Linked DNA regions of Caenorhabditis elegans. The protein of the gene in region 1 purifies or fractionates together with the protein of each later gene. This does not show direct contact. Each region holds a gene or a part of one and is shown on either strand. Other genes may lie near its edges.

What was found.
Region 2: the proteins of F58D5.9 (region 1) and K08D9.4 fractionate together in Caenorhabditis elegans (co-fractionation; one large-scale study listed by BioGRID). This does not show direct contact.

The regions. Positions count from the first base shown.
Region 1 is NC_003279.8:12,040,417-12,051,567, reverse strand, and holds F58D5.9 (Cystatin domain-containing protein), read left to right. Parts: upstream 1-4,949; 5' UTR 4,950-4,974; coding exon 4,975-5,299; intron 5,300-5,543; coding exon 5,544-5,619; intron 5,620-5,670; coding exon 5,671-5,771; intron 5,772-6,171; coding exon 6,172-6,332; 3' UTR 6,333-6,367; downstream 6,368-11,151. Other genes in the region: ksr-2 (Kinase suppressor of Ras B), read left to right, coding at 1,063-1,523, 3,392-3,683; F58D5.5 (uncharacterized protein), read right to left, coding at 8,582-8,803, 10,153-10,410.
Region 2 is NC_003283.11:3,193,974-3,205,874, reverse strand, and holds K08D9.4 (AB hydrolase-1 domain-containing protein), read left to right. Parts: upstream 1-5,451; 5' UTR 5,452-5,461; coding exon 5,462-5,581; intron 5,582-5,632; coding exon 5,633-5,786; intron 5,787-5,839; coding exon 5,840-6,121; intron 6,122-6,214; exon of another isoform or gene 6,215-6,235; intron 6,236-6,776; coding exon 6,777-6,994; intron 6,995-7,040; coding exon 7,041-7,202; 3' UTR 7,203-7,331; downstream 7,332-11,901. Other genes in the region: Y73C8B.5 (EF-hand domain-containing protein), read right to left, coding at 7,542-7,802, 7,850-7,932, 8,322-8,328; Y73C8B.1 (AB hydrolase-1 domain-containing protein), read left to right, coding at 9,035-9,154, 9,201-9,354, 9,411-9,692, 9,963-10,180, 10,227-10,388; Y73C8B.2 (AB hydrolase-1 domain-containing protein), read left to right, coding at 10,874-10,981, 11,437-11,872.

The DNA.
Region 1 (11,151 bases):
AAAAACAAAAAATCCTGAAAAACTGTAGAAATAACAAAAATAATTCAATTTTAAGGCAAAAACGATATTTAAACGGTTTTTCTGTGCTAAATTAATGCGAAATTTTTTTTTTCATTTAAAATTGCGAACAAATTTTTTTCATTTAAAAAATTAAAAATTCAACAATTTTTTTCTGTGCAAAATTGTTATATATTTAGCATTAAAACACAATTTCCCCACAAAAAAATTTAATTTTTTCCAGAACTACCAAAAAAATCCAAAAAAAAACTGTAAAATTAACGAAAATGAGTAAATTTTGATGCAAAAATTATCAAAATTACCGAAAATTCACTTTAAAAAACTAAAAAACCGTTTGAAAAACGTAATTTTAAGCAAAAAACTGAATTTTTCGTATTCAAATTTTCCAAAAAATCCCAAAGTTTTTTATAAAATTACTGTTTTTTTTTGCTATATAAATGCGATTTTTTTTCACCAAAAAATTTATTTTTAAAAAATTCAAAAATTTTTCGATTTTTTCTGTGTAAGATTCTTATTTTTGGCCTAAAATATTGAATTTTTCGCTATTTTTACACGATTTCCCCAAAAAACAAATTTTCCAGAACTCTTGTCATAATAAAGTATACATTATAAAAAATTTGTGAAAAAAATACTCAAAAAATCCCAAAAAAAAACTATAGAATTAACGAAAATGAGTAGATGTTAATGCAAAAGTTATAACAATTACCGAAAATTGATTTTAAAAAATTTTTTGAGAATGAACCATTTTTGGCATATGTTCTATGACCCTTTGTCTGAAAATTTCAAATTTTTGTTTACACTACTAAAAAAATTGGATTTTTGTTAAAAATTCGTGTCCAAAAATCCAAGTTTTTCGTAAAATTACGATTTTTAAACGGTTTTTCTGTGCTAAATTAATGCGAAAAATTTTTTCAACAAAAATTGCGAAAAAAAAATTTTTAATTTAAAAAATGAAAAATTCAACTTTTTTTCTGTGCAAAATTGTTATATATTTGGCATTAAAAACACAATTACCCCACAAAAAAAAATTCGATTTTTTTCCAGAACTCGCGGCACGATCATATAGCCCTATTCTACGGATACGTATCAGATCCAGTGACGAATACGTACGCAATTGTCACGAATTTCTATCAACACAACACTCTTTATCACCGAATTCATGAACAATTATCCGAAGATTTCGATCAATCGTGGACATTTCAAATTTCGTTGCAAATTTGTCAGGCAATGTCTTATCTGCATAAAAAGAAGATACTTCATCGAGATTTACGAACGAAAAATATTCTTTTGGACAATCCGAATCGAGTCGTTGTTACGGATTTTGCGTTGATGAAGCTTGAGCGGCTGGAGAATCCCCGCAGAAATTGTACACTTTTAATCCCAAATCACTGGATTGACTATCTTTCGCCGGAAATTGCTGGAAATTTGATGATTGATTGGAGGGGTGATGTGTTGTTTCAACATGAACTACCGTTTTCACAAGAATCTGATGTTTATTCGTTTGGGTACGGGGGGATTTTATCGAATTTTTAATTTTTTTTGATTGAAAACCGCTTCCGAAATGCGAAAAATTGCGATTTTTGGCCAGAGGTCTCGCCACGATCGAAACTTCCCCAGCTACAGTCCCTCCGAGAACTTCGAAATTTCTTGGTTTTTTGGGGCGTTTTTCGTAATTTATGAATAAAAATGAGTAAATGTCAAGAAAAAGACAGAATTCAATTTTTGTCGACGTTTTTACTAAAAAGTACGGTATTCAGGGTCTCGCCACGACCGAAACTTTCCAGCTACCGTTCCCACGGGACTTTCGCAGTTTTCCGGATATTTGGCGTATTTTTCAAAATATCGGGAAAACTGCGAAATTCTCGGGGGTACGGTAGCTGGGAATTTTCGATCGTGGCAAGACCCCGGTATTTTGTCGTAAAAATTTCGAAAAAATTGAATTCTGCCATTTTCTTGACATTTACTCATTTTTATTCATAAATTACGAAAAACACACCAAGAAAACCAGGAAATTTCGTATTTTATCGGATTTTTAAGTGAAAACCGCTTTCGAATTGCGAAAAAAAATGCGATTTTTGGCCAGAAAATCCGGTAGCCTTGGGTCTCGCCACAAGAATTCGTTTTTAGAGCTCTTCTCCACGAGGAGTACACGAGCGAGCTGCGTAAATCGACAGCTCTTCCATTTTCAAATTTAATGGAGTTTGGGAGACCGATTTGCAAAATTTCACAAATTTTTACGAAAAACTACGGTAGCTCGGGGTCTCGCCACGATCGAAACTTCCCCAGCTACAGTACCCCCGAGAATTTCGTAATTTTCTTGATATTTGGCGTGTTGTTCGTAATTTATGGACAAAAATAAGTCAATGTCAAGAAAAAGACAGAATTCCATTTTTTTTTCAAAATTTTTACTAAAAAAGACGGTATTCAGGGTCTCGCCATGAACGAAACTTCCCAGCTACCGTACCTACGAGAATTTCGTAATTTTCCTGATATTTGGCGTATTTTTCAAAATATCGGGAAAACTGCGAAATTCTCGGGGGTACGGTAGCTGGGAATTTTCGATCGTGGCGAGACCCGGGCTACCGTTTTTTTTTCGTAAAAATTTGTGAAATTTTGCTAATCGGTGCTCTTCTTTTTAGCGAAAATTAAAAAATGGAAGAGCTGGAGCCTCTCTGTCGATTTACGCAGCTCTCTCGTGTACTCCTCGTGGAGAAGAGCCGAAGATTCTACAGTTTTTAGGTGAAATTCTCGGTTTTGCACCAATTTCGCTAGTTTTCTTCTGTGATTAACATCAAAATCGTCCATTTTTTGCTTATTTCTATGTATTTTGATGAAAATGCGAAAAAAAACACTCAAATTTGGAGTTTTTGACCAGTAAATTCATAAATTATGGATACTGGTCAAAAACTCTAAAATTGAGACTATTTTTGTATTTTTCACCAAAAAATGAACGATTTTGTGTGTTCAATACAAAAAAACCAGTGAAAATGGTCCAAAACTGAGAGTTTTAGCTAAAAATTGGAGAATCTTTACCTCTTCTCCACGAGGAGTACACGAGAGAGCTGCGTAAATCGACACATTGAGAAAAATTTGGAAAAAATCATTAAAAATGAAGATTTTTTCACAAAACTAGTGAAAAAAATCTCAATTTTTGAATATTTTGAGTTAAAAATCGACAATTTTTGAAAAAGCGAAAAAAATTTTTTTTTTAATATTTAAACTTTGAAATTAACACTGAAAAATGCTGCGTAAATCGACATATTGGGAAAAATTTAATAAAAATTAATTTTTTTTCAAAACTAGTCAAAAAACTATCATTTTTTATATTTAAAGTTTTAAAAATCAATAATTTGAAAATTTTCCCAATTTTCAGTACAATTTTCTTCGAACTCCTGCTCCGCCGTATGCCAACGGGCTGTGACTCTTGGGATCAGAAGCTCTACGCGAAAATGTGCGGCCAAAAAGCGGCACTTCAACGGCTCGACGCCCAGCTGCAAAAAATCGACGGAAAATTGCACGAACTGCTGCTGGAATGCTGGTCGAGCCAACCGGAGAAGCGGCCGAGTTTCCAACAAATTGTGAAGCGAATTACAGTTCAAATGCCGAGAAAAGAGTCGAATAAGCAGAAGAGACGCAGCACGGCACACGAGAATCCACTGTTTTAGTGTGTAGAATTATCGATTTTTTATGTACAGAGAGAGAGAGAGAGAAGAGAAAAGAAGAAGAAATTAGACATTTTATCCATTTAAATACCTATATATATATACAAATATTTATCCTATATTCATCCCTGCCCCTGCCATTGATCTTGTTTCATAATCATATCATAGTTTTATCAGAAAAAGAAAAAAAATCCCATTTTTCCATCATTTTTATCCGCGTTTTCCTATTTTCCTCCAAATTTCCCAAATTAATCCCGCCAAAAAAATTTTTTAATTTAAGTTTAATTTCCCGCCGTTTCCCTTCCTGTGCCATCCTTTTTCCCCCCTGAAAAGAAGCAAAAAACGAGTTTTATATACCACAACCGGATTCCTACTATATTAATTCCAATTTTATCCAATGATTTATTTATATTAAATTATATTTTCTTTTTTTCTACCATTTCTGTGCTGCCTTGAAATTTTTTTGTTCCCGCCTTCCTCCCCTGATATATAGTTATATATAGTTTTTCGACAAATTTTCAATTTTCAAATGAAAATATCGACTTTTTAGTTGGAATTTTTTGGGGATTATCCAGGAGTTTTTTACATATTTCATGTAATTTTATTCGCTGAAAATTGATTGAATTTCAGGATTTTCGCGCGAATTTTGGCTGAAATTGGGCATTTTTACGATTTTTCTCTCAAAAACTTGAAAAATTTAATATTTCCCTTTGAAATTTGCAAAATTAGGTTAAATTAAACCTAATTTTGTAAATTTTCGTTAAAAACCGTTAAACAAACCATTTTATTCAGTTTTACAATGAAAAACTAGCCGCGACGCGACACGCGCCGCTCCGTAAATCTACCCCGGCCGTAGCCGAGTCCAAATGGCCTAATTACCGACTTTTGCATAAAAATTGAGTTTTCAACACGATTTTTTCTCTAAAATTTACAACTTTGGAGAAAAATCGTGAAAAAAGCATTTTGGGCAGGTGTGCGCCTTTAAATTACTGTAACTTCGAACTTTGGTTGCTGTGGAATTTTAACCGATTTTTCATAGTTTTTGATTGAAAAAATTCCTACAGTAATCTTTAAAGGCGCACACCTGCTCGCAGTTCAAAAAAGGCGTGGCGAGACCTGGTACCGTAGTTTTGGCGCGAAAATCACAAAATTTGGCGTCTGGGCCTTAGAATAAGCAAGCGCGGCGCGGTTTTTTTTTGAATTTTTCTCTGTAAAATTTTTTTAAAAATCGCAAAATTCAGGATAAAAACGTCTTGGTAATTTTTTTTTCAGATTCCCCAGGAAGACCCTAAAAATGAAATCTCTTCGAGCAACTAACATCACAACGGCCAAAGCCGTCATCATTAAACCTCCCCACCACGTAATTCTCGGCAAGAAGCATCGCCGACGTGTTGGTGGCAATCTTCGGGATACCGCCATTTTCTGCGACTTTCTGACGTCATTTTGCTACGTGGCAATGGAAAGATGCTCGCCGAGCACGGCGGATTGGCCGAAAATGAAGTTTGGACAGGATTATGAGCATTCGAAATGCCCGGATGCACGATTTCAGCGACACGTTGAAGAAAATTGTCAGCTCGCGGAGCAATATATTGCGGCAGGACGATTATTGGCTTTTGAAGGTTTTTGGGCCTAAAATCTAGATTTTTAATTGATTTTATTGTATTTTTTGCTGTAGAAATGCTTTAAAACCCAGAAATAAAACTTGCGCGTCAAATACAATGCACTGCGTACACTTGCGGTGTTTGCACTGAGTGCATTTTAATTGACGCGCAAATCTTTTTTTCTGCATTTTTTTCGAAATTCTTGAATTTTTTAGCTAATTTCAGATGATTTTTGATTAAAAATAACTTGAAATTCTTCCAGTATGCATGGTAACACCGTCGGAAACTCAACTCGTCGGATTTCGTGTCACTATCAGCCGATTGAGGCGCCCTGATGGGTAAATCTTACAGAATTTGATGATTTTTCACTAAAATTTTATAATTTTCAGCCGTAGAAGTCCAAATATCTACGCCAGGCTCTCAGCGATTCTGGAGAAGGTTCGAACGATGGAAATTACGGAAAAATTGGATACAATGATGAGCTCCTGCAGTGAGTTGGCCAAAAAAAAAATCTTCTGAAAATGGGCCAAAATCGACGAAAAAAAAAACCATAAAATATGACTTCTCCAGTCAAAATCGGCAAAAAATGCACCAAAATCGACCAAAATTTACGTAATATTCGCTGAAAATGGTTTTTTAATCCAATTTCCACATATTTCTGAAAATTTTTGTCGATTTAGCTTATTTTCCACCGATTTAAACGGAAAATTCTCAAAAAACGACGAAAATTTGCGAAAAAATGGGAAAAATTCATTAAAAATTGTAAAAAAAATTATTTTTTTATTCAACTTCGCCAGTTTTTTGCAAAAAATTCTATCGATTTTGGCCTATTTTCCAGCGATTTGGGCTAAAAATTCCCAAAAAACGGGAAAAAAATTCAAATTTTCCAGAATATCGCCCTCGAATCCGCCTTCTCGCCCGTCTTCGCCCCCAATCCAAACGGAAAGCCGACAAATCCAAAGTGGCCGATAAATCTCAAACTTTTTCTCTTCCAATTTCAAATTCCATTCGATTAATGTACACTGGAATCTCATTTTATGCTTTTATGTAATTCTGAATTTTTGAAAAAAAACACAATATTTTTTTAGATCACAACGTATTTATTACTTCTTCTTCTTTTCAAGAAAAATAGTCCAGACAAGCCTAATGAGAGCCTGAAAGCCTGGAAATTTTGTCTTGATAGTGATCTATTCGATTTCAGTGAAAAAAATCGCAATCCGTACAGATGGTAGAGGTGGAAATGCGCAAAAAACGCCAAAATCTCAGTGGAAAGTTGGCAAATTTTCGGGAAATCGCAAATTTCGCGAGAGAAATTTGATACTTTTCCCAAAAAATAGCCAAGAAACAGGAAAAAAGATGGAAAAAAAAGTGGGAAGGAATGCGAAAACCTGGGAGATCGAGGTTCGACTCGCGCGAAAATTTAAAAATTAAGGCTTCTGAGAGATTTAAATGAATGGGTGGGTGGGTGAGGGGGAAAATTTAAAATTTTCAAAAAAAACCAATAGACTAGAGAACAAATTTAGCCGGGATTACTGTAGCAGCTAAACTGTGTGGATTATATATATTAAAAGATTATAAGATATTGATAGATATATAGGATTACTGTAGACTGTAGGCTTGGTTACTGTAGGATAGTGTGACCAGACTCGGGGGGATATGAACATTAAAATATGACGTGGCGAGACAGAGAGAGACAGAGAGAGATAGAGTGAGAGAGAGAGAGAGTGGGGGTGCTAACACAGAAATAACGAGACATAGAGAAAAAGAAGAAAAGATGGTACAAAAACAGAGTGAAAATAACCTAAAAAGGTCGATTTTCAGTATGGGGAAAAATGAAAAAAAATGAAAAAAGAAAAATCGATAATAGAGATTTAGAGGCCGCCCATTTTTCTTGGCGAGTTTTCCCAGAAAATATTGAAAAACTAATCGAGAAAAAGTGGCGTGTGACCCGGCCAAAATCAATTTTTGAAGTTGGGTACACACTTGATAATTATTGATTTTTGAGACTGTGAAAATCTCCAAATTTCCGTGGAAAAACAGTTTTTAGGCGAAAAATTTGGTAATTTTCAGTGAAAATCGACTGAAAATGGACAAAAATGTACGAATAATTAGCAAATTTGGCTAAAACTCAAGAAAATCGTAAAAATTCAGTGTAAAAAAAGATTTTGCCCGTCAATTAGAATGCACTCGGTGCAAACACCGCGAGTGTACGCAGTGCATTGTATTTGACGCGCAAGTTTTTTTTCATCGGTTTTTTCACGTTTTGTGCACAAAATCGACAAAAAACTTGGGAAAAAGCCAAAATATCAGAAAAAATCGATAAAATTTAATTTTCAATCAATATTTTGCAAATTTTCAGTCAAAATCGGCTAAAAATGCACTAAAATCGACCGAAAATTGCAAAATAGTGGCAGAAAATCAATTTTTTCCTGTTTTCTGCATTTTTGCAGATTTTCCCACGTTTTTTGCACGAAATCGGCAAAAAAAAAACTCGGAAAAATGTGTTTCGCAATTTTTTGTCGATTTTTACGGAAAATGCACCAAAATTTGCAAAAAAATTGAAAAAACCGTGCAAAATTTGAGAATTTTGGCTATTTTTTCACTAAATAATTCAAAATTTTCGCCGAAAGAAAACCCGTTTTTCCGGGAAATTTGGAGCCATTTTGAGCATTTTTGTGGGGGGCAAAAACCAATAATTAACAAAACATATAAGTGAAAATGGACAAAAAATGGAAGAAAAAGGTGAGGAAAAATCCAATATGTACAGGAAAATCATCACGTTTTGGTGGGGGGGAAAACTAAAGGAAAAAAACGCGAAAAAAAAGATGGGCGGTCTAAAATATCGAATTTCTAAGATTTTTCGGGTCAAAAAATGAAAACGGGACGGGGGAATACCTGTATTTGTACTATCGAATTCCGGGAAAGAAATTTCGAAAAAAAAACCGAAATATCTACAATGGTTCAGAATTTCTAGTAGCACACGGGGATTTCGCGGGGAATTTTTTCGATTTTTTTTTCTCTATTTTAACGAAAAAATCCCCCGCAGCAAGACAAACAAAATATATTGCAAATTAACAAAAAAAAAAGTGAAAATTTTCAAAAAAAGAAGCCAAAACTGTGATAAATTGTTGAGAGAGACGAATATGGATAAGTTTTGCAGGGGAAAATTAGATTATCTCAGTTTTTTAGGGGTTTTTTAGGCTTTTTAAGCCAAAATTTCAGTTCGAAAACCCAAAAAACCCCCCAAAAAATACACTAAAATAATCCAAAAATAAGGGGGAAATCCAGAATCCAGAAGCTTTAAGCCGAGGCGATTGCTGCGATGAGCTGTAGTGGACAGACACGAACTCCGAGCACATCAGTCTTTGGCTTCATCTCTTTTTGAGCAGCACGTCGTGGTGTCATTGTGATCATTGGAGCATCCGATGATGAGAGAGAAGATGTTGACGATGAAGCTGATGACGTCATTGAGATGGATGATGATGGACGGGATGAGTTTTCGAGCTGTCCGGGCACTTGGAGCTGAAAAATTGAGAAATTTTGAGGGATTTTTAGGCTGGAAAATGCAAGAAAATGCACTGGAAAGTGGAAAATTCGGAATTTTCAAAGAACTTTATGCTAGAAATTGTGATTTTGAGCTTAAAATGATTTTTTTTTTGGTAAAAATCGTCTTGGAGCTGAAAATTTGGAATTTTGAGGTTTTTTGAGCTTGAAAATGTCGATTTCAAGGTGAAAATGCTTTTTTTCACTGAAAATTGAAAAAAAAGGGCGAATTTGAATAAAAAATCAGAATTTGAACGGATTTTTATGCTAAAAAAGATAGATTTCGAGCTGAAAACGCCATTTTTTCAGTAAAAATCGACTTGGAGCTGAAAATTTGGAATTTTAAGGTTTTTTGAGCTGGAAAAACCTTTTTTAGCCGAAAAACGAAAAAATTCGAATTTTAAGATTTTTATGCTAGAATAGGTTGATTTGAAAATGCTTTTTTTCAGTAAAAATTGGAATAAAAATGGAGGATTTCAGTGGGAAATCCTTTTTTTAATAGACTTCTATGCTAAAAAAGATAGATTTTCAGCTGAAAACGCCTTTTTCTCAGTAAAAATCGACTTGTAACTGGAAAATTCGGAATTTTTAAGGTTTTATTCGCCAAAAAATGATGATTATGAGCTGGAAATGCATTTTTCAGTAGAAAACTGGACGAAAATTCGGAATTTTTAGTATTTTTATGGTAGGAAATGTTGATTTTAAGGTGAAAATCAAAAAATTCAGGAAAAATCGGAAGTTTACAGCTTCAAGGGAGATTTGATGGGAAAATTGAAATCTTGGAAGGTTTTTAAGCTAGAAAATGTTGATTTCAACGTGAAAATGCTTTTTTTCACTGAAAATTGAAAAAAAATGTGATTTTGAGTGAAAAATCAGAATTTTAAAGGATTTTTATGCTAGAAAAGGTCGATTTTAAGCTATTTTCGAAGGTTTTCATACTGAAAATAATATTTTTTCGATGAAAATCCCTGAAATATGCATTAAAAAGCGGATTTCGATTTCTAAACATTTCTATGCCAAAAATGGTTAATTTGAGCTGAAAATGCCTTTTTTCATCAAAAAGAATTGAAGCAGCAAAAATCGGGATTTCCCAGCTAGAAAAGGCTTTTTTATGGAAAAATTCAGTGAAAAATAAACATTTGGTGATTTTCCTGCTGTAAAAGCGATTTTCGACAAAAAATTGAAAATTTTACACAAAAAAGTGAGTTTTTTGTTGTTTTTCAGCCTGAAAATTGGAAAAATTTCTTTTTTTTTACAAGAAAAATCGGAATTTCTGCATTTTTCCGGGGTTTTTCTTCAAAATCTTGAAATTTTCCACACCAATGTACCTGGTTAAGCCATTCAACTGGTGGCAACGGTACATTTCTGGCGGATGGCGATGAGCACACCGATGATGATGCAAAAGCTGCCAACGACGCTGGGCTCGATGATTGAGCCTTTCGTTGGCGATGACGTGGCTGTGCTTGTTGCTGACGTGGATTTCCGGATGACTTCGGCGTCGTCTGATGGGATGACTGGCCACCACCACCACTGGGACGGCTGGATGACGATGGAGAAGACGGAGAAAAAGATGAATATTGATTCATTTTTTGGTGGATAAGTGAGATGATTGTTGAGTTGATCAGATTATACGTTTTTTAGAGTTTTTGATCTTACAGAACTACACCGGGGCACAAACCCGAAGGCTATGATGCTATAGACCGTTGGATCTGAAAAATTGGCAATTTTTAGTGTTTATATTGAAAAATAAGCTTTAAATTAGCAAAATTCAAGAAAAATCGATCGAAAAAAGGAGATCTGCGAAGAAAAATCGACAAAATTCGAGAAAAAAACAATAAAAATTTAGGAAATTTAGGAGATTTGCGCGTGAGATATGGTGTATTAGACGCAAAGGAACATAAAACACCATACCGTACGTGCAACAAGCTTATGGTCAAAAACAAGTTTTTATGTTGGAGAATTTGGGTTATTTTCAGATTTAAAATAATTTGAATTATGTATAATTTGTAGAATTCGAGTATGAAAAAATAAATTTGTGAGAAAATAACGAGATTTAGGAGAAAATGAGAAAATGCTTCAAAAATTAAAAATTGAATTTTTCTCAGCGGTTGGATTCTCATTTTAGCGATAAATTTCTAGTTTTTGTTGATTTAGGTACATTTTCAGTTAAAATTTCCAAATTTGGGTACCCATAGACTGAAAATGCACCAGAATCGGGAGAAATGAAAAATTGGAGATTTCAGCTCGATTTGGGTCTTTTTACGGAATTTCAGCATGAGATTCGGGGTAAGTTTGAGTATTTTAAAGAAATTAGAGTAGTTTAATTG
Region 2 (11,901 bases), on another chromosome or scaffold:
GTCCTTTCTCTCGCATTTTTTGTAGATCAACGTAGATCAAGCCGAAATGAGACACTCTGACGCCACGTGTAGATTCCAAGCTGGTGAGTAATTCGTACCATAGCTGGTCTCTAAAGACAGGTGCCAAACACCCGTTAGCGAAAAAAAAAATTTTTTTTCTTGAAATTTCCAATTTTCCGATTCACCATAGAAAACTAGTCGGGGGCCAGCTGCTGCTGCTTGAATGGAAATTTTTTGCGTTTCGAAAATCCACAATAATTGACAATTATAAATGTGTCACGTGTCAATCGATGATGAACATCTGCGGAAGGCCACCTGCGGTCAACTTGAATCCGGCTGAATTTTGTGATAGAGAAAAATAAGAAAAAGAATATTGTGGTATGCTTGTTAGCCGGGCGGGAGAAGATTGATCTACAAAAAAATGCGGGAATTTTTTTTTGGCCCAAAAAATGTGACGTCAGCAAGGTTCTTAACTATGCGAAATCAGTTGAGAGAACTCTGCCGCATTTTTTTGTAGATCAACGTAGATCAAACCGGAATGGGACATTAAATTTTTCGGGAAAATATCTGGCTCCCACGGCGCACCGACCGGCACCGCCAAACTATATGGCATGGCAAATAGAACGATTTTTCGTCTTTTTTGGGATTTTCTGCGATAAAAAATCAACATATGTTATTTTTTATAACATTGCGCACGTGTTTCGAGGTGAGAAGTGCTCGATTTATCTATTTCACCCATCTAACTCTAATTACGACGAACTGGTGACAGATGGACGGTGTATTTCGGCTGGAAATGGTGTTAAAAGGGAGAATTGCGGTGAAAAATTGGATAAAATTGAGAAAAAATAAATTAATGAGAGGGATTTCTTGGGAAGTGGTGGATATAAAGGTGAAAATAATTATTTTTCACAGAAACTGAAGGAATAAACTTGAAAAATTAGATAAAAACTGAAGCGAAACAGGGAAAACGCGGTAAAAATCTGGAAAACGACCGGAAAAATTGAAAAACTTTAGTTTTCTAAGGAAAAAACGGAAAACTCGCCGAAAATTGACGTTTTTGCATGAAAATTCAACGAAAATTTCTACAAAGTTTAAGTTTTTTCGCAAGAAAATTGGACGGAAATGCGCGAAAATTGGCAAAAAACAAGGAAAATCCACAAAAAAGGCATTTAAAAAAGAAAATAAAAACTAGCAATACCGTAGTAAAAAGGCGCGGATCTCAAAAAAGTGTGAAGGGTCTCGACGCGACTTTAAAAATTCAGCCATGCGCCTTCAAAAAACTACTGTAGTATATATTTTTATTTTTCAATTAAATTTAAAAAATAAAAAGTTTGCGTTAAAAACCAACTTTAACGAGGAATTTGTTAACAAAATCGTGTAATAAAATACGGAGATGAAACAAAAGAGTTTTCGGAGCATAAAATACGGGACCGGCGATAAAATTGAGAACCTCACTCTTCGTCATCAAATCATCAAAACGTTTTGACAGATGCTCTTTGTTTTTGCTAACTCAGAACTTTCCGATTGAAATATGTGCACACAACGGCGCCGCGTCGACGACTAACAACAGATGTGGGGGAGTCTTCAATATTGCCACGATTATTGTTAAATATATTGAAAAAAAAACTGGATAAAAGAAGAGCACAAAAAAAGAAACGAAGAAGAAAATATTTCAAATATATTGAAAACTGTCTTTTCTTTCCTTTTCCTTCTATCTACCACCACCCCTCCCGACTTTTGTGATTGTGTGCCAGGGACGCGACGATTTGCATGAGAATGCACTGAGAAGTGAGCGATGTGTGAAAAAAATCGGCCGCCGCCCGGCGATCGAAGATGCTTCTCAAAATATTTTCGTTTTGGCGAGGAAGCTGGAAAAAATTTGTGCTTTTTCCCTGAAAAAAGTGAATTGGTTGAAAATGGAAGAAAAATTAGTAACAAATTGGGGAAATGGCGCAATCGCGCTCCACGGCCAATGAAAAACTGTCCGCCCCTATACGTTGGGTCTCGTTAGGTATTTGGCTGCAAAACTCTAAATTCACGTGAAGCCAGGCTGTCCCATTACAGTTTGATCTACAAAAAATGCGGGATTTTTTTGCCCAAAAAATGTGACGTCACGTTCTTAATCATGCGAAATCAGTTGAGAACACTGCGTCTCTCTCCCGCAATTTTTGTAGATCTACGTAGATCACGCCGAAATGAGACACTCTGACACCACGTGTAAATTGAGTTTTTCAATTAGTTTTACATGCTTTCAATCAAGACGAAAATTGTTTGAAAGCATGCAAAACTAATGGAAAACTCTGAATTTAGTGTCAGAGTGTCCCATTTGGGTTTGATCTACGTAGATCTACAAAAAAATGCGGGAGAAGAGACGCAGAGTTCTCAACTGATTTCGTATGGTGCTGACGTCACTTTTTTTGCGCAAAAAATTCCCGCATTTTTTGTAGATCAAAAACGTAATGGGACAGCCTGGCACCACGGTTTTACTGTCAAATTCCTAACGAGACCCATGACTCGGGCGGCGGGGCGTTTCAATTAGCCGTGGGGCGCGTTTTCACGTCGATTTCAAAAAAATTCTGCGTCCAATTAATATTTTAAAAAATGTTCTGTAAAACTTATTTTTCTTTTTTTTTTCTGAAGAAGTTTATTTTTTTGCAAATTTTGAAAAAAAAACCGCTGTTTAGAAAAAAAAACACTATGAAAAACGAAAATGCACTTTTTTCCGATTTCAAAAGTAGTTTCTCTGGATTAATTGGAATGGGTTTTTGCGCAGTACTTTCGTTTTTTTTTTTTCGGTTAAAAATATTTCATATTCTTCATAAGTTCAATTTCAGATGATCTGGACACGACCGATTTTTTTAAATAAAAAAAATTAGGGTGTGCCTTTTAAGGAGTACTGTAGTTTCCTTTTTTTCACCTTTTCCATATTAAGAACAACTTTTTTTTCAATTTCTGCAAAAATAATAAGTTCGAAACTGCAGTACTCCTTAAAGGCGCATACTCTCTTTATTATTGAATTTATTATCAAGAAAATGTGACGTCAGCACGTTCTTAACCATACGAAATCAGTTGAGAACTATGCGTCTCTTCTCCCGCATTTTTTGTAGATCACCGTATATTGCTAAGCGAATTTAACTACTCTGAATTTTTGCATATGTAGAAATTCGATTATGATGAATTGTTTTCCGACGAATCCAAAGTTCCAGTGTTCAAACTTCCACACAATACGACTTTATGAACACACCTGGTGTTCTTTTGCAGAGTTGCCGAACATATTTATTTTATGGAAAATTGTCACTGGAATTATTTGCAGGGGGGGGGGGGGGGGGGGAAATAATTTTATTGCATTGCTAAACATTGAAGATATAACCAATGGGAAATAATAATCATTTCAAATAACCCAATACAGGGGTGGTTGGCAAACTATTTTTTCCGGCAAATCGGCAAATTGCCGGAATCGAAGCTGCCGGCAATATACCGCAATGAAATTTCCGGCAAATCGGCAAACCGGCAAATCACCCAAATTGTCGTTTTGTACAGTTTTTTTTTTGGAAATTTCAGAATTTCAATTTTAATCGGCAAAATTGTACGCATTCTATGAATGTTCCTACATCTGTTTCGAAAAGTACACAAATTCTATGAAATTATCTGAAGACAACGGGGAAAAAAATTTCAAAAAGGCGCAAATTTAAGTGTTTCGGTTTCATAAATAATTCCCTCTAAACACTTCCCGCAAATTGGTGTTCGGCAAACGGCAAATCGGCAAATAGCCTGAATTGAAAATATCCGGCAAATCGACAAACCGGCAAGTTGCCGGAATTGAAAATATCAGGAAAACCGGCAGTTTGCCGATTTGCCGAGTTTGTCGACAAAATTTGCCAAAATTGCCAAATGGCAATTGCCGCCCACCTATTGCCGGTTCAGTATTTTAATGAAACACTTCAAAATTTTAACATTTTTCAACATTTTCAGTCAAATTTTTGGTGAAAAAAATTCGAGAATCGCTGGTTTAAACCCTCACCAATAATTAAAAAATATTTGAAACACCATTGAATCCGCTCGTTGAAATTTTTAAAAGTTGTTTTTTTTTAATTTTTGAAAAATTTTACTACGATTTTTTTTTTCAATTTTAGGAAATTCATGTAGTTGCTTGAATTTTTTCCTTCCTCTTTCTGAATTTTTTTTGTATTTTTTGAAAATTCGGAAATAAAGGCTGTCAAAAAATGTAATTTTACAATAAATTGTATTCTCGCTTTTACATATTGAATTGAATTGAATTTATTACGATTGAAATCATGATAATAAACGTAATAAACATACGATAATAAACATACAGAAAACTAATAAACATACAGAAAATGAATTATCATCTGAAAAGTTGATTAGTTGGTACATGAATGTGCGGGTGTCAGGGAGATGAATAATGGGTAAAAGTATTAAACATGCATAGGACATGAGGTGCCAAAATAAGATTCATTGCGCAAGATTCATTGCGAAATAAGATTCATGTCCGAAGTTGACTTTTTTGGAATTATCGTCCTTTATTACATATATTGGTAGTTTATCTCATTTACTTTCGTTGATATAAGGTATATTTAAAGCCGATAGGTAACCAATTTCGATAATTTTTGGTTCCATATCGGCTAATATAACATACATAACATACATAACATGTGATATAACATACATATCTGAAAAGTCCCCTATTTTTGACAAAAAAACAACACCCAAAAATACCAGAAATGTCAAAAACTGCAGCGACCGACATCTTGTGAGTTCGCTTTTCCTGATATACTTCAATTGACTGGTTTAAAAACTCAGCTATCGATGGGCAAATTTTCGGCAAGTTTTCGGCATCAGGCGACCAAATTGCAAATCTTCGCAGTTGGCCAAACGTATAATTTTGTTGAACTCATATTTTAGAGCTTTTTTCAGTTTACAGTGTAATTTTTGCATTTTTCTGAATGCGAATTTTTTTTTCTCAAATTTTCACGTCTTCACACAGTTGCAACTCAATGTCAATTGTTAGACGGTTATTTTTTGATTTTCTTTTGGCCAGAAAAAATTGTCCAAAAAGCTTGTTTTTTTATCAAATGTAAAAAAAAACTCATCTAATAGTAAAGCTAAAATTTTATTCCAGTAGGGTCCAGAGTACCCGATGGGCACACCGGCCACACTCCAACTACACAGCTGACCCGCGCTTCTCTCCTCTTTTTCGTTTGGGTACGCAGTTGACGTCATATCTTCTTTCTTTTTTTACATGCCAGCTTCATGTTGTGCTTTATATTTTGTCTTTTTGATTTTCCAGCAATCGTTGTATTTTTTACGTTTCTAGTACAAAAATGGAGAAGGTCAGATTTTTTTTTCTAAACACAAATTTGATTAAATTTGATAATATCTCGTGAATAAAAATGTTTCAAATTGGTGATTTATGATACAAATTCTTTCAAGAAAATCAATAATGATTATGTCAAAAGGAGCATTTTCCACGCTACCCGCCACCGAGCCGAAGTTGTATTCAAAGTTGGTGCAGTTCCAAACCAAAAGGAGAAGATTGGTAGATTTAAATGCAGTTTATGAGGTAGGTTGACACTGAAATACTGATTTCTCAATTTAAAAGTCAGTTTTTCAGGACTCATTATCATCTGGCTCCCCATTGGGTACTGTGATTGGATTCCATGGAACTCCAGGGTCTCACAGGGATTTCAAGTATGTCAGGCAGCGATTGGAGCACATGAATATTAGATTTATTGGTATTAACTACCCAGGATTCAAGCAAACTCCAGGTAGTTTCAGTTAATTAATAAAAAACCATCAAATAATTAAAAATAAATTTCAGCGTACCCAGGTCAACACTTCGGAAACTGGGAACGAAATAGTTACTCAGAAGCTCTGTTAAACGAGCTAGATGTGCCGGGAAAAGTGATCATAATGGGGCATAGCAGAGGATGTGAGAATGCACTGATAACAGCAGCTAATCGGAAACCTCATGGACTAGTGATGGCTAATCCAACAGGGTTGAGGATTAATAAAGGGTCTCGTCCGAAGGGAAAGTTGGAGTCGCTGATTTATTTACATAAGAAATTGCCGAAAAAGATTGGAGATGCCATTTTGTATAATTGTGAGTATAAGCAAAATGAGAAATATGCCATAGGCCACTACCAAAAAATGTTTCAATGTGGTGTTTTACTACTGTTGAGGCTCGTCAAAATGCTTGAAAGTTGGATTTTTTCATAAACTTTTTCATTTTGGGAGCGTTTTTGATTAAAAAAAAAGCAAAAATCTGAAAAGTTTTCTGGATGTTGCCTACCCCTAGAGCAATTTTACGAGCTTCAGAACAATTGGAAAAATGTCCTGTAAAAATAAAATTTGAGATCGGAAATTTTCTAGTTCAAAACGCAGCAAAATTATTGGTAGTGGCTTATTTAAAGTGTAGTTTTGGCAGTTTAGGAATACGTATTTTCGTTAGACCTAAGTTTTTAAAAGTGGTGTACCGAAATCTGAGACTTTACTTTTTTAGATCCAAAATGACCCAAAACTACCAAATTTCGTAATGAGATGTTCTGAAAATTTTTCAAATAAAAGTTATGTCGGCTCAATGTTTTAGAAAAAACCCGTTTTTGAGAAACTTTCAAAACATCTCATTATGAAAGTCGATGGTTTTGGGTCATTTTGGGTCTAAATAAGCAAAGTCTCAAATTTCGGTACTCCACCTTTAAAGGATGTTCGAAATTTTCAGGGATACTTCAGATCTTATAAATTATTTCAATTTCCAGTAATGAAATTGGTTGGATTCAAAATTCATGATGGTGAAGAAGCCGTGGCGGTTATTCGAGCAATTATGAACTGTGACCTGGAAAAGCAACTGGAATACATTCTGAAATTAAATGAACTGCCCACAAAGACTATGATCACTTTTGGCGGAAGTGATCATTTAATTGAAAAGGAAATTGTTTTTGAAGCACTCAAAAAGTATCAGGGACTCGCGCATTTTGTAAGTTTTGTGATAGAAAAACTTGAAAAATTGGAAGGAATTTCAGAATTTCAAAGCGAATATCACAGAATCCGAAAAGCAGAAAATAATGGAAAGTTTCAAAAATCAAAAAGGAACATCTGTATTTATTGCAAAGGATAATCATTTTCAAAATAAGAAGCGGGCGGATTTATTGGCAGATGCTGCTAGATCAATGTTATTAAATTAATGTTTTGAAATTTTCAAATTGTTTAACTTTACAAACAAAAGGGAAATCTGCAACATGAACAATATTTTCAACGACTATAATTTGAGAACTGTAATAGTAATTTTATTCAATAATAAACTTACAAAAAATATTTAGCTTTTGAAATACTGCCCCAGAAAAAGTCAGCAAAAATTACAAAAGACAACGAATTTTAGGTGAACCAAAGTTTTTAATCGGCAAAAAAAAGAGTTTTTCAATTGAAGGTTGATGAAATATTTATTCAAAGTTTTTTAGGGAAGATAATACTTATAAACGAGAGGATAAGAGGAGGAAACTGGAAAATTTGAGGTTGGTGATTCTCTAAAGAGAAGGATTTACAGCTCTGGTTACATCGATGAGCTCATCTAAATCAACTTGACCATTTCTGTCGATATCGGTGTAACGGAAAGTTTTGCGAATCCCTTCGGCAGACAGCCGTGCTTGAAAGTTGCTGAAGAGGGGTTCCAGTTCAGCAACAGAGATGAAGCCATTTCCGTCTTCGTCAAACTCTTGGAACACCTTTTTAAAATTCTCTTCACTCTGTGCCAAGCCTCTTAGCGACAACATAGCTCCTGTTAGCTCCTGTAAAGCATCTATACAAATTGTTTCGAACATTATTAAAAACTCACTCCAAGAGCCTCATTATCCTGAGAACTTCCAAAATTTGGAATCCAGGCGAGAATGATGAGTAGGAAGAAGATAGAATTGATGGCTTGAATGTAAACTCACTTACAGGTGCCCTTTTTAAATGGATATTTTGTTTAATAAAAACATGTTTTCCGTTGAATTTATAATGGATAATATATCCAATACTTTCAGCAAAGCACGATTTTTTCTATTGTAAAATTTGGCAAAAAAACATTTTTCGAATAATTTCAATAACTGACACAGAATGCTGTAAAAATCGATTTTTCCAGAACTCCAGCTATTTTTTGGTAGGACGCTATCAAGGTACAAGAAAAGGAATAGTACCCAAAAATGCATATTTGCCTTCAAGCCGACCTACGCCTATCTACTCGTTTTCCTGCTGCCAGATATCAGAAACCAATAAAATACAACTAATTTTCTGAAAATACAGTGAAAATAGGCTTTCCTACCTACCTATCATATACCGGCTTTATAGATGGTCATACCAACGGGATGCTTAGTTACGGGCCTAGCTTATTTCTACATCAGGGGTGTGCGACAAATTTGCCGATTTGCCGAATTCGCCGAGAATCTTCACCAAGAAAAATATTTCCAACGACTATAATTTGAGAACTGTGATAGTAATTTTATTCAATAAAAAACATACAAGAAATTATTAGATTTTGAAATACTGTCCCAGAAAACGCCAACAAAAATTTGAAAAAAAAAACAAATTTTGGGCCAACCAAAGTTTTCAATCTGAAAAAAGTGCCCTGCAGTTTAAGGTTTGTATTTGAAAATTTCTTAAAACATAGACAAGGGTCCAAAGTACAGGAGGGGGTGCATTGGCTACACACTGACTACACAGACACATCTGACCGGTTTCCTCCTGTGGGTACGCATTTGACGTCATTTCTTGTTCTCCTTTTTGCCAGTCTGTTGTGGTTTTTTTAAATTTTGATTTTTTGCTATTATTTTAACAATCGCTATATTTTCAATAAAAAATTGTAAAACAAAAAATTTGGAAAAAAAACTATTTAAAAAGACAACTAATCAAATTTTGATTTTTAAAAAAAATTAATTTTCACGTTTAAAAATTCACGCGACTTCAATTGTTTTAAATTCAAATTCCTAAAACTGTTTCATTTCGATGTATTGTTTGCAGAGTTAATTTCAAAAATTCAAGAATGATTGTGTCAAAACGAGCATTTTCCATCCTACCCGCCAGTGAGCCAAAGTTGTACTCAAAGCTGGTGCAGTTCCAAACCAAAAGGGGAAGATTGGTAGATTTAAATGCAGTTTATGAGGTACGGTAAGCCAAAGGTTTTTAATATTCAATAGTCAATTTTCTAGGATACTTCTGCATCAGGCTCACCACTGGGCACTGTAATCGGATTCCATGGAACTCCAGGATCTCACAAAGATTTCAAGTATGTTAGGCAGCGTTTGGAGCACATGAATATTAGATTCATTGGCATTAACTACCCAGGTTTCAAGCAAACTCCTGGTAATTTCAGTTTATTTTTTAAAAAAACCATCAAATAATTTTTAAAAAAATTTCAGCCTACCCCGGTCAACATTTCGGAAACTGGGAACGAAATAGCTACTCAGAAGCATTGTTAAACGAGCTAGATGTGCAGGGAAAAGTGATCATAATGGGGCATAGCAGAGGGTGTGAAAGTGCACTGATAACAGCTACTAATCGGAAACCTCATGGACTAGTAATGGTTAATCCGACTGGATTGAGAATTCATAAAGGGTCTCGTCCGAAGGGAAAGCTGGAATCTCTGGTATATTTCCATAAAAAATTGCCGAAAACGGTAGGAGATACCATTATGTATAATTGTAAGTTTTTTTATCTTCCTCGAAAAAATATAAATTTCCCAACGTATTTTCAAAAGTGGAGAAATGTTTCTAGAAGAAATTTGTCGGATTTTTCACGAAGTTTTGAAAATGTATGTGTAGAAAGCTTATTTTCAAAAATGCACTCAAATTTGAAAAGCACCAGCCAATCAGCAATGTTGGCCACGCCCCGCGCACCGCTGATTGGTTGACGGTCTCCGCAAACTGAAAATTGTAACTTTTTGAACCATAAATAGCTTTTCCAATTTCCAGTAATGAAATCGGTCGGATTTAAAATTCAAGACGGAGAGGAAGCCGTGGCGGTTATTCGAGCAATTATGAACTGTGACCTGGAAAAGCAACTGGAATACATTCTGAAATTGAATGAACAGCCCACAAAAACTATGATCACTTTTGGGGGAAGCGATCATTTAATTGAAAAGGAAATTGTTTTTGAAGCACTCAAAAAGTATCAGGGACTCGCGCATTTTGTAAGTTTTGTGATAGAAAAACTTGAAAAATTGGAAGGAATTTCAGAATTTCAAAGCGAACATCACAGAATCTGAAAAGCAGAAAATAATGGAGAGTTTCAAAAATCAAAAAGGAACATCTGTATTTATTGCAAAGGATAACCATTTTCAAAATAAGAAGCGGGCGGATTTATTGGCAGATGCTGCTAGATCAATGTTATTGAATTAGTATTATAAATAGTTTTTCAATTTTTTTTTGAATTATTCATTGAATTGTGTTATCAATAATAATAACTTATTATCAAAGCGTTAATTCTTAAAACAATTTCCTTTTGTGAGTCCTGCGCCGATTGATTATGTGAGCAAATTGTAAAAAATGCGTTCTTCCAACCTGTACTGCTGCAAGGGAACACAAATCCCTGTATTTGCATAGTGACAATGCCTCCCCTTCTTCGAGAGGAAAAGGTCACTCTCAATAGAGCGCGCTTGCTTACGATTACCCTCAATTTTACTTCCTTTTTCGACCTTTGAGATTCCACGAATAACACGGTTTATTCGAGTTCTTTATTGATTTTTTTGCAAAGAAATTAAATTATTTTGTCGAGTTTAAAAAATATACATATTTTACGCTTTAAAAATTTCATTTCTTATTTTTAAAATTTAATGTCAAAACTAATTATTGTACCGTTTTCTTTAATCAATACAATTTCAAGAATGACGGAGGTCCCCAGAGCACGAATAAGTGAGCCCAAGCTTTTGAAGAAGCTAGTGAAATTTCAAGCGGAAAATGAACAATTTGTGGAGTTGGAGGCGGTTTATGAGGTGTGGTTCGAAGTTTTACTTTAATCTAGTTTTTTTTCTGGATATTTGAACCAGGGCGGGCGGCAAACGACCTTTTCCGGCAAATCGGTAAATTGCCGGAATTGAAATTTTCGGCAAACCGGCAAATTGCCAATTTTTTTTTGGAAATCTCAGAATTTCAAATTTAATCGGCAAAAATTGTACGCATCCTAAGAATGCTTCTACATCTATTTTGAAAAATAAGCAAATTCTATGAAAATATCCAAAGAAAACGGGGAAAATTTTCAAAAAGGCACAGTTTTAAGTCCTATAAAAATCCCTCTGAAAACTTCTGGCAAGTTGAGGTTTGGCAAACAACAAATCAGCAATTTGCCGAAAATCAAAACTCCGGCAAGTCGGCAAACCGGTATTTTGCCAATTTGCCAAATTTGCCTACTAAAAAATTTGCCCCCCTAATATTAACTTTTCAAATTCAGGACTCTATCACTTCCGGCTCCCCGTTCGGTACTGTAGTTGCTTTCCACGGCTCCCCTGGGTCTCACAACGATTTCAAGTACATTCGGAGCAAGCTGGATGATCTGAATATTCGATTTATTGGAGTCAATTATCCGGGATTTTCAAATACGCCTGAATATGAAGGTCAACAACACGCAAATCCGGAACGCCAAAACTTCTCCAACGCTTTGCTAGATGAGCTGAAAATCGACGGAAAAATTATCTACATGGGACACAGTCGTGGATGCGAGAATGCTCTGCAAACAGCCGTCGGACGTGAAGCTCACGGTCTTGTGCTCATAAATCCGACCGGGTTCAGACATCATCAGGGCATTAGGCCATTTTATAGGCTGGAGTATTTGGACTGGATGTATGGGCTTTTGCCAAGTTTTTTGGGAAATTCGATGATTTTAGGAAGTAAGTAAAAATATTTATTTAGTTCATTT